Linked DNA regions of Arabidopsis thaliana. The protein of the gene in region 1 interacts with the protein of each later gene in a pairwise test. Each region holds a gene or a part of one and is shown in the gene's direction. Other genes may lie near its edges.

Evidence for each region.
Region 2: the proteins of HHP1 (region 1) and ICE1 interact in a two-hybrid assay, tested with the Arabidopsis thaliana proteins (one study listed by BioGRID).

The regions. Positions count from the first base shown.
Region 1 is NC_003076.8:6,840,200-6,844,935, reverse strand, and holds HHP1 (heptahelical transmembrane protein1), read left to right. Parts: upstream 1-1,989; 5' UTR 1,990-2,279; coding exon 2,280-2,581; intron 2,582-2,662; coding exon 2,663-2,738; intron 2,739-3,290; coding exon 3,291-3,911; 3' UTR 3,912-4,103; downstream 4,104-4,736. UniProt on the Arabidopsis thaliana protein: May act as a negative regulator of abscisic acid (ABA)-mediated osmotic stress signaling and function in cross-talk between cold and osmotic signaling.
Region 2 is NC_003074.8:9,831,884-9,837,129, reverse strand, and holds ICE1 (basic helix-loop-helix (bHLH) DNA-binding superfamily protein), read left to right. Parts: upstream 1-1,857; 5' UTR 1,858-1,994; exon of another isoform or gene 1,995-2,241; 5' UTR 2,242-2,339; coding exon 2,340-3,344; coding exon of another isoform or gene 3,345-3,431; exon of another isoform or gene 3,432-3,526; coding exon 3,527-3,751; intron 3,752-3,843; coding exon 3,844-4,014; coding exon of another isoform or gene 4,015-4,044; exon of another isoform or gene 4,045-4,093; coding exon 4,094-4,177; 3' UTR 4,178-4,463; downstream 4,464-5,246.

The DNA.
Region 1 (4,736 bases):
TATCTTTTTCATATTGACCACATGGTTTGGTTTGTTTTATTACTTCGTCGTACATAAGCTGCCGGAAATACCTAACTCTTCATATGGTTGTCTCTTTGACACCTACCGGATTTTACTTCATTTATGCAAAGTATTGTAATAATAAAAAGAAAAAGAGGATATTCCCGGTATTTTAATTAACAGAACAACATTCATATAAATAAAACCATTCCTTTTGATTTTAATTAGGCCTAGGCGACAAAATATATAATTAAGGCTAAATAGATTGCAAACACATGGCAGTTATATCCAAAAGTAAAGATTACAAAAGATGTCGAGAAGATAAAGTCATTTTCTTCTTCAACCATATTTAACAAAATCTTAAGTTATGAATTAGTAATAAACTATTTTCCCAAGAAACTTAAACACACGTATATGGAGTTTGCGTATATGATTGCGATTCCTTGGGGGTGTTTCAGGAGTGACCTCTTTGGTTAATGTTTTCCCAAAAAGCCTAAGCCAACCCAAATCTTGAAAGACCAGAAAGCTACAACTATGGCCATTTTATCAGCTTTAATTTTAGATAACAAAACTGAATTTTGTAAGAGAAAAAATAAAGGTATGGCTATGGGACGCCGAGATGTTAATTACTATCTACATAATAACAACATATTTTTTTTTTTGAATTTAGTGTTAAATTATATTCAAAGAAAAATAAACTGTTTATATACAGAAATGCAAACTTTTCTTAAAAATAGATCAAAAGTATATCTTATTTATCTTTGATTTTGTTCTTGCCTAAAAGTAAACCACACTTGGATTCCTCTTGCGTACTTCTCTTCACATCTTACCCTCAACGTGCTTAATCCATTCCTTATGTTTTTGTCTATCAGCCTGATTATCTTCTTCGTCCTCGATGGCGTCTGTCCATATCTCCTCTCATTTCTTTCTCTCCATATAGAATGTATCGTGTTTTGAAACACATACCGAAGTACAAACCTTGTAGTGGCGTCAAGATCTTTACTCACTAACTCCTTCATAATAACAGCATAATAACATGTATTACATGAATGCATGTCACAAACGTTTATAATTCCCTTTTTTTTTGCCAACAAAACGTTTATAATTCCTTGTATGAAGATATTTTCGTCTAATTTTTAACATCCTTTTTTAGTTGATTTCCAAATAAATTATAAATTTGTTCTAAAGTTTAGTCATCTGCCTAATTAATTAACTTGAAGTTCTATATTGCTAGAGGCATTTAAAGGTCAAGTCCTTTTCAAGTGGTAACTCATTGAAAATGACACTAATGTTTTTTGCAACATTTCACAAGAAAAAAATAGAAATTTTCATGATTTTGGCTTTTGTGGTCTACTCTTTTAAAAAAAGGAATCCTTGAAATGTTTGCATGCTTGTTTTTAGTATCATTATTTTTGTTGTCATCCACTTGATGGAAAGAGCTTTGACACTTCTTTACCACAATCACTTCATAACTCATAACTACATTAAATTCTGTTGTTATCCTAACTTCTTCTGTTAAAAAAATTACTTAGAATTACACATAAGAACTCAAAAATGCAAATTTTCTAAAATTACTCGTCTATTTCAAGTAAAGTAAACCCCTCACCAATCTTAATTTCACACAGAATTTAATGTTGATTGAAGCATAGTAAAAGTCTAAATGAGTCCTTATTTTTTATTTTTACATCAAGAGTACTATTTTGTTTGCATCACATATCTTATATCTTTCTTATAAATACAAACGATCCGGTGGGTACAAGGCATCAATCATGTAAAAGAGGTACAAGCCGGTAGTGAATTTTGAGTCGGTCGGTCTTAAAATCGCCTAAATTTACTCTTCTCGTATTCAAAAGATTTTCCATATCTCAAAAAGTAGTGTAAAACTGAATCACTTTTCTTGTTAAAAAAAAATACAATAAAAACAAACGTAAGAGAAAGGGAAATGAAATAATAATAATCAAAAAAGAAGAATTTATTGATAACCTAACTAACAACTAAAAGATGAAAACACGACACCAACTTCTACCTGCATACTAAAGTTTCGTCTTTAAATGTTGCAGCTGTCTCCTTACATTTCACATCTTCCTTGTTTCTTCTCTCTCTCTCTCTCCCCTCAAACTTAAATTCACATTTTAATACTTGTTACTTCAACTATAATAATAATAATAATCTTTCTTCATTATATATTTTCCTCTCCTCTCAGATCTTCTCTCTCACCATCTTCTCTTGAGATCAAGATTGAGTATTCTTGTCTCAAGAATCGATACTCGAGAGCTCTTATGGACCAAAATGGTCATAACGACGAAGCAGAAACAGTTTCATGCGGCAACGGCAACTGCAAAAGCAAGATCGTGCCTGGAGATGATCACGGTGGAGATGAGAGTAGTGGTACCAAGAGAAGGAAGAAGAGAAAAACGCAACAAAAGACAATGAAACGACGTGAATTAATGTCGTATTGTGAGCTACCGGAGTACATGAAAGACAACGAATACATATTGAATTATTACAGAGCTGATTGGTCCATTAGAGATGCTTTCTTCAGCGTATTTAGTTTCCACAATGAGTCCCTCAATGTTTGGACGTAAGTACACCAAATTTTACTTCTAGTTTCAATTATTTTTTCTTCGATTTTTTTTTCTAATAGTTTTTTTTTTTTGGACAGACATTTGATTGGTTTTATCTTCTTTGTGGCACTAACCGTCGCCAATATTATTCATCACGACGGATTCTTCCCCGTGGTAAGTGTCCTTTAATCAACACGTTTATTTTTGTTTTTGTTTAATAATCGCAAGTTTAGCCCGAATTTCAATTTATTCCCTCGAGATCCACATGCAACCACTATATTAACTTCAAATTAGTCAAGTGAATGTGTCAAGTAATTAGATATATACCTAATTGGTTTTGATTAACTTATCTTAATTTTCTAATGAATTGTTCGTTGCTATACCTGGATTTTGTTATGATGATTTTGAATAAGATATCAAAGATATATAGACATGAATCGAAATGATGAATAAAATCTTTGACAATATTACATTGACTATAATTTGTTTTCTGTAGTATATTCTAAACAACTCAATAAAATGTAATTCTTTTAAGGATTATATATCAGCTCAAATCTATTATTTAATCACATATCTAAACAACTGAAGAAAATGTATTTCTTAACTAGATTAGAAATCAACTCAAATATGTTATTTGATCATATATCTAGTATATGTTTTTTTAGTATCTCAAACTAGTCAATAAAAATGTAAAGCTAATGGTGGTATCAATGTTGATGATTGTAGGATGCAAAGAGTCCAGGGAATGTAACAAGATGGCCCTTCTTCGTTTTCTTAGGAGGCTCAATGTTCTGCCTACTCGCAAGCAGCATTTGTCACCTCTTCTGTTGCCACTCAAAAGAGCTTAATGTCTTCCTTCTCCGAATAGACTATGCCGGTATCACCGCCATGATCATCACTTCCTTCTTCCCACCAATCTTCTACATCTTCCAGTGCACTCCTCGGTGGTACTTCATCTACCTCGCAGGCATCACATCCATGGGAATCTTCACAATCATCACACTTTTCACCCCATCACTTTCCGCTCCCAAGTACCGAGCTTTCCGCGCTTTGCTCTTTGCCTCCATGGGGCTGTTTGGGATTGTCCCAGCTGCCCACGCGCTAGTGGTCAATTGGGGAAACCCGCAAAGGAACGTGACGCTCGTGTACGAGTTGCTTATGGCAGTGTTCTATCTTGTTGGAACAGGATTCTACGTAGGGAGAGTGCCAGAAAGGCTTAAACCGGGATGGTTTGATCGTGTGGGACATAGTCATCAGATCTTCCATGTGTTCGTTTTGTTGGGTGCTTTGTCTCACTATGCAGCTGCTCTCTTGTTCTTGGACTGGCGTGACCACGTTGGTTGTTAAACCATATATTTGTAATTCTTTTAAATATAATATTATTAATTTGTTGTATCGTGGTGAACAAAATTGTAATAACCCATTTGTTTTAAATTGAATTGTAATTCAACTTGTGTTAATTGTTATGTTTGTTGAATATGCATGATTTTCAGAAGTCTTTTTCTCTATGAGAAGTTAATGGTAAATCAAATATTTGCCACTGAATAGTTTCGTTTTTGAATATGATGACTTCAATTGTTTGTTTGCTTTATATCATGAAAGCAAACAGAATTGAAAAGACATAAAAAAAAATTGATGTAAACACAAAAGCAAAAATTGACGGTTGAAACAACCAATGATTTGTTTTATAAAAAAAAAAAAAAACCAATGATGCAAAGGATGGACTTCATGCATGGTTGATGGTTCTTTCATCTATCTACATGCGCACTTAGCTTAGTGTCAGGATTCCCTAACCACAAGAGAATTAATATGTATATATGCACCATCAAATGTTCATCAAAGTCTCCGCTTCCTTTTTCATTCTTCATAGCCGAGTCCTCTTATTATTGCTTCAAAGTTTTTTTGTTCTTTTTGATTTGATATAAATATATGTGTTACTAGGTTATACAGGTGTTAATTAGATGCAAGACAAGGATTGATCAGACATAAACATAATTAAAGACCAAGCTTCACTCTGTAACTAGACTCTTGATCGATAATGCGTGAACGGACCCAAACTCTTTTCGAATTTCGGAAGCCAAATGTCTTGGTCTTGCCGTGAGACTTGGTGTATATTTTCATATATCTTTTTTTTTTTTTCCTTTTGATGTATGAAACTTTTTTTATGTGTGG
Region 2 (5,246 bases), on another chromosome or scaffold:
TTAACATTGCGGTGATTGTAATGGATCGAAACAAAAAATAATAATGATTTCTCAAATCGAAGTTGAAGAGCACTCCGAAGATTCTACCCCAAATTTTGAAGAACATTGAGTTGCTAGTTGATTCAGCACATTCACCAAATTGCTACCAAATGAAGGATATATCGACTACTTGGAAATAAGTTTTCCTTGCACACTAACCATTACCATTTAATTTGATGGAGTTAAAAATAAGCTTTAAGTTGTTCATATTCATCTTTAAAAAATTTCTAATGAGTAAGTTTATTTTGTTCAAGCCATGCTGGATTTATTGAAAACAAAGAGACTATTTTCATATATTTGCAAAGAAACAATATATTGAAACTGGTGAAATAGATACGTCATCCATTTCATCAAAGATCAATCTTCAAGATTCCTATGTGTATTATAGTAGCTTTAAAATAAAGTAAAACTAATATTGAATTATAATTCTTGGGAAGTGTTTATTATTGAAAATCAAATCATGTATAGCTACAGTAAATAAAAAGAAGTAGATAGAAAGAAAGAAAATGCAGTATAAATTTTTAATCTGTGTGAAATGAAAATTTGCAAAATCAATATTCATGAAACGGATAAAATGCACTACCGTACTTGATGCATAAATAAAAAATGGCTGTTTGTACCAATCCACATGTATTATATGCGTTTAACTAGGATTACCAATATTTTTGACCTCTATCCAATTCACCTTCTGCTCTTTTTGTTCTATCTAATTCCACATTCTACCCAATTTACCAAATTCAATTATTATATGTAATTACAATTTAAAATCAATAATTCATGTTTACTATTTCGCGATTAGAGTAAATCCGAGTTTAAAACCTTCCCAACAACATGTCAAAAACACTTTGAAAGCTTGGCCGAGTCTTAAAAAGTTTGACCGAGTCTTAAATTCAGATTTACTCAAATTTCGAAACAATAAACGCGAATTATTGATTATAAATTACAACTACAGAAATAAATGGAAATTGGTTATTTAGGTAGAATTTTATAGTTTGTATGAAATTAGAAAGAAGATAAAAAATACATAATGAATTGGGCTGAGGTCTACTACATAGTGATCCTAATTGAACCCATATAGTATGGGTGGACTGCAACAAACAGCCCATAAAAAAAAAAAAATTCAATGTTTATTAAAACCTTTAAATGAAGGAAACTAAGATAGATAGCCGGAGAACACGTTTAAATCTCCGGAATCTTAGCCGGTAGAAAAACAAATTCTCTAATAATAAAGCATAAACCAAAACTATATAAGCAAAAAGCCAATTTAAGGCACAAAGCCACAATTGAAACTAACAAAACTTTTTAGAAAATGAATCCCTAATTACTTCCTCTAGAAGACTAGAAAGCATATCGCAACACAACTATATTTTTTTGGGAACTCAATTTAGTTGATAATGGTGATAAACGCTACAATCATCAGAAAATTTGGAATTACTCGTCCTTACTTAATTAATGTTTAAAAGACTTATGAAATTAAACTATTTACTTACAAACTTGAGCTTGATGTGGCTTTGTTCAAGAAGCTTAGGAACCATCGAAAAGATGTCGACGCCGGTAAAGTCGAGATATGCGTTACAACATAATTATTTATAATTTTTTAAAAAAATACAAAAAATAAAAGGAAATATATTTAATAGTAAGAATATAAAATAAATTTTATTACCATCTTTTGAAAAAGAACTTTTAAGTACATAACAATAATTAGGTAATAATATGAGTTAAAGAAATGCATGGAAGACACGCGTTGCATGAATGATGCTAATTACACTTTGAAATTATCATCATCATCATTAACTTACTTAAACACTGTCTATATAAAGACAGAGACAGTGACAACAGAGACAGAGAGATAAGCTTAAGCCAAAATTAAGCAGAAAAATGGAGAAATAGTGACGGTGAGAGAGAGAGAGATACGGTAAACGAAGCAAAGCAAAGAGAGTCACGAGAAATCTGGGGTATGTGTTCAATGATAAAGCAATTTCATGGTGGCCGAAATTGAATCCATCAAAAAAAAAGTTTCAATTTTTGAAAGCTCTGAGAAATGAATCTATCATTCTCTCTCTCTATCTCTATCTTCCTTTTCAGATTTCGCTTCTTCAATTCATGAAATCCTCGTGATTCTACTTTAATGCTTCTCTTTTTTTACTTTTCCAAGTCTCTGAATATTCAAAGTATATATCTTTTGTTTTCAAACTTTTGCAGAATTGTCTTCAAGCTTCCAAATTTCAGTTAAAGGTCTCAACTTTGCAGAATTTTCCTCTAAAGGTTCAGACTTTGGGGTAAAGGTGTCAACTTTGGCGATGGGTCTTGACGGAAACAATGGTGGAGGGGTTTGGTTAAACGGTGGTGGTGGAGAAAGGGAAGAGAACGAGGAAGGTTCATGGGGAAGGAATCAAGAAGATGGTTCTTCTCAGTTTAAGCCTATGCTTGAAGGTGATTGGTTTAGTAGTAACCAACCACATCCACAAGATCTTCAGATGTTACAGAATCAGCCAGATTTCAGATACTTTGGTGGTTTTCCTTTTAACCCTAATGATAATCTTCTTCTTCAACACTCTATTGATTCTTCTTCTTCTTGTTCTCCTTCTCAAGCTTTTAGTCTTGACCCTTCTCAGCAAAATCAGTTCTTGTCAACTAACAACAACAAGGGTTGTCTTCTCAATGTTCCTTCTTCTGCAAACCCTTTTGATAATGCTTTTGAGTTTGGCTCTGAATCTGGTTTTCTTAACCAAATCCATGCTCCTATTTCGATGGGGTTTGGTTCTTTGACACAATTGGGGAACAGGGATTTGAGTTCTGTTCCTGATTTCTTGTCTGCTCGGTCACTTCTTGCGCCGGAAAGCAACAACAACAACACAATGTTGTGTGGTGGTTTCACAGCTCCGTTGGAGTTGGAAGGTTTTGGTAGTCCTGCTAATGGTGGTTTTGTTGGGAACAGAGCGAAAGTTCTGAAGCCTTTAGAGGTGTTAGCATCGTCTGGTGCACAGCCTACTCTGTTCCAGAAACGTGCAGCTATGCGTCAGAGCTCTGGAAGCAAAATGGGAAATTCGGAGAGTTCGGGAATGAGGAGGTTTAGTGATGATGGAGATATGGATGAGACTGGGATTGAGGTTTCTGGGTTGAACTATGAGTCTGATGAGATAAATGAGAGCGGTAAAGCGGCTGAGAGTGTTCAGATTGGAGGAGGAGGAAAGGGTAAGAAGAAAGGTATGCCTGCTAAGAATCTGATGGCTGAGAGGAGAAGGAGGAAGAAGCTTAATGATAGGCTTTATATGCTTAGATCAGTTGTCCCCAAGATCAGCAAAGTAAACACTTACTTTGTCTCTTTTATCTCCTTAAGAGCTTGTTTACTTGTTGCTGTTATAGAGAATTGTTGTGTTGTAGCTTTGTAGGGCCTTTGTTGTTGTCAAACTTTGCATGTAGTTGCTTTACTCTTTTGAGGAAGAGGCTCGTGATAGTGTTTTATGGATTTTCGATGAATTTGCAGATGGATAGAGCATCAATACTTGGAGATGCAATTGATTATCTGAAGGAACTTCTACAAAGGATCAATGATCTTCACAATGAACTTGAGTCAACTCCTCCTGGATCTTTGCCTCCAACTTCATCAAGCTTCCATCCGTTGACACCTACACCGCAAACTCTTTCTTGTCGTGTCAAGGAAGAGTTGTGTCCCTCTTCTTTACCAAGTCCTAAAGGCCAGCAAGCTAGAGTAAGGACTATATTCTGTATAACTTTTGCTTAGACTGGAAAGAAGAAAACAAAGATTCATGTTTGAGAGATTACTCTGCTTCTTTTTCACAGGTTGAGGTTAGATTAAGGGAAGGAAGAGCAGTGAACATTCATATGTTCTGTGGTCGTAGACCGGGTCTGTTGCTCGCTACCATGAAAGCTTTGGATAATCTTGGATTGGATGTTCAGCAAGCTGTGATCAGCTGTTTTAATGGGTTTGCCTTGGATGTTTTCCGCGCTGAGGTGATCTTCTACTCTCAGTTGAAAGGTTAAGGATTTGTAGAACAGTTTTAGTAGTAACATGTTTTCTTTTGTCTATCAGCAATGCCAAGAAGGACAAGAGATACTGCCTGATCAAATCAAAGCAGTGCTTTTCGATACAGCAGGGTATGCTGGTATGATCTGATCTGATCCTGACTTCGAGTCCATTAAGCATCTGTTGAAGCAGAGCTAGAAGAACTAAGTCCCTTTAAATCTGCAATTTTCTTCTCAACTTTTTTTCTTATGTCATAACTTCAATCTAAGCATGTAATGCAATTGCAAATGAGAGTTGTTTTTAAATTAAGCTTTTGAGAACTTGAGGTTGTTGTTGTTGGATACATAACTTCAACCTTTTATTAGCAATGTTAACTTCCATTTATGTTTCATCTTAAAGCTATGCTCAAGAATTTTTTTTAAAGTCTTCATCTTTGTTCATGAGTGAACTTCTCAAAGAAGACAGACAAAACATTTGCACATATACAGACAAAACAGTTATGTTAAAGGTATAGCTTTGGTATTAGCTGATGAAATGAGCTTTGATGATGTAAGAGTGAAGAAAAACATTGAGATTTTTAAGAAAAAACAGAGAAAAGAATGGTGAAGGAAGAGGCAGAGCAAAGAATAGACCCTACCATTTTGTTTGTTTTCTTCTTTAAATGCTTACTTAATGTTTTAAGAACTTTTATATACGTTGTATGTATCCGTACAAAAGAAAGATTTAGAGAGATAGAGAGGAGACATAGTTAATGGCGGTTAGAGATAGAAAGAGAGAGTCACGAGAACGTAGAGGATGTGATGAAGAAACGTAAAAGTGGTAGGTCCTTTGAATCTTTTAAAAACCTAACCTTTTTTATAGGGTTTTAATTTAGCTTCTCTGAATTTTTCTATGATTATAATGCATGTAGTAATGAAGTCCTCGTGATTCTAGTTTTTAGTGATGTCCTCTTGATGATCCAAGCCGTTTGGTACTTCTTTTTTTTTGTTTTTCTAAATGTTTTCTCTGTGAAAGTCTCTCTCTTAAGAAGGATTCAAACCTTTCAGTTTTTACTTCAGTAAAAAAAAACTACTCCATTTTCTACTGAATCATCTTTTCTCCACACGATCCCCAAGAGTCCAAGCATTACAAGTCCATGATAGGATTAGGAGGAAGAAGCTCAATGATAGGCTTTATTTTTCTTGCTCGTTAATTGTTGTTATGTGAGAAGTGATATTTT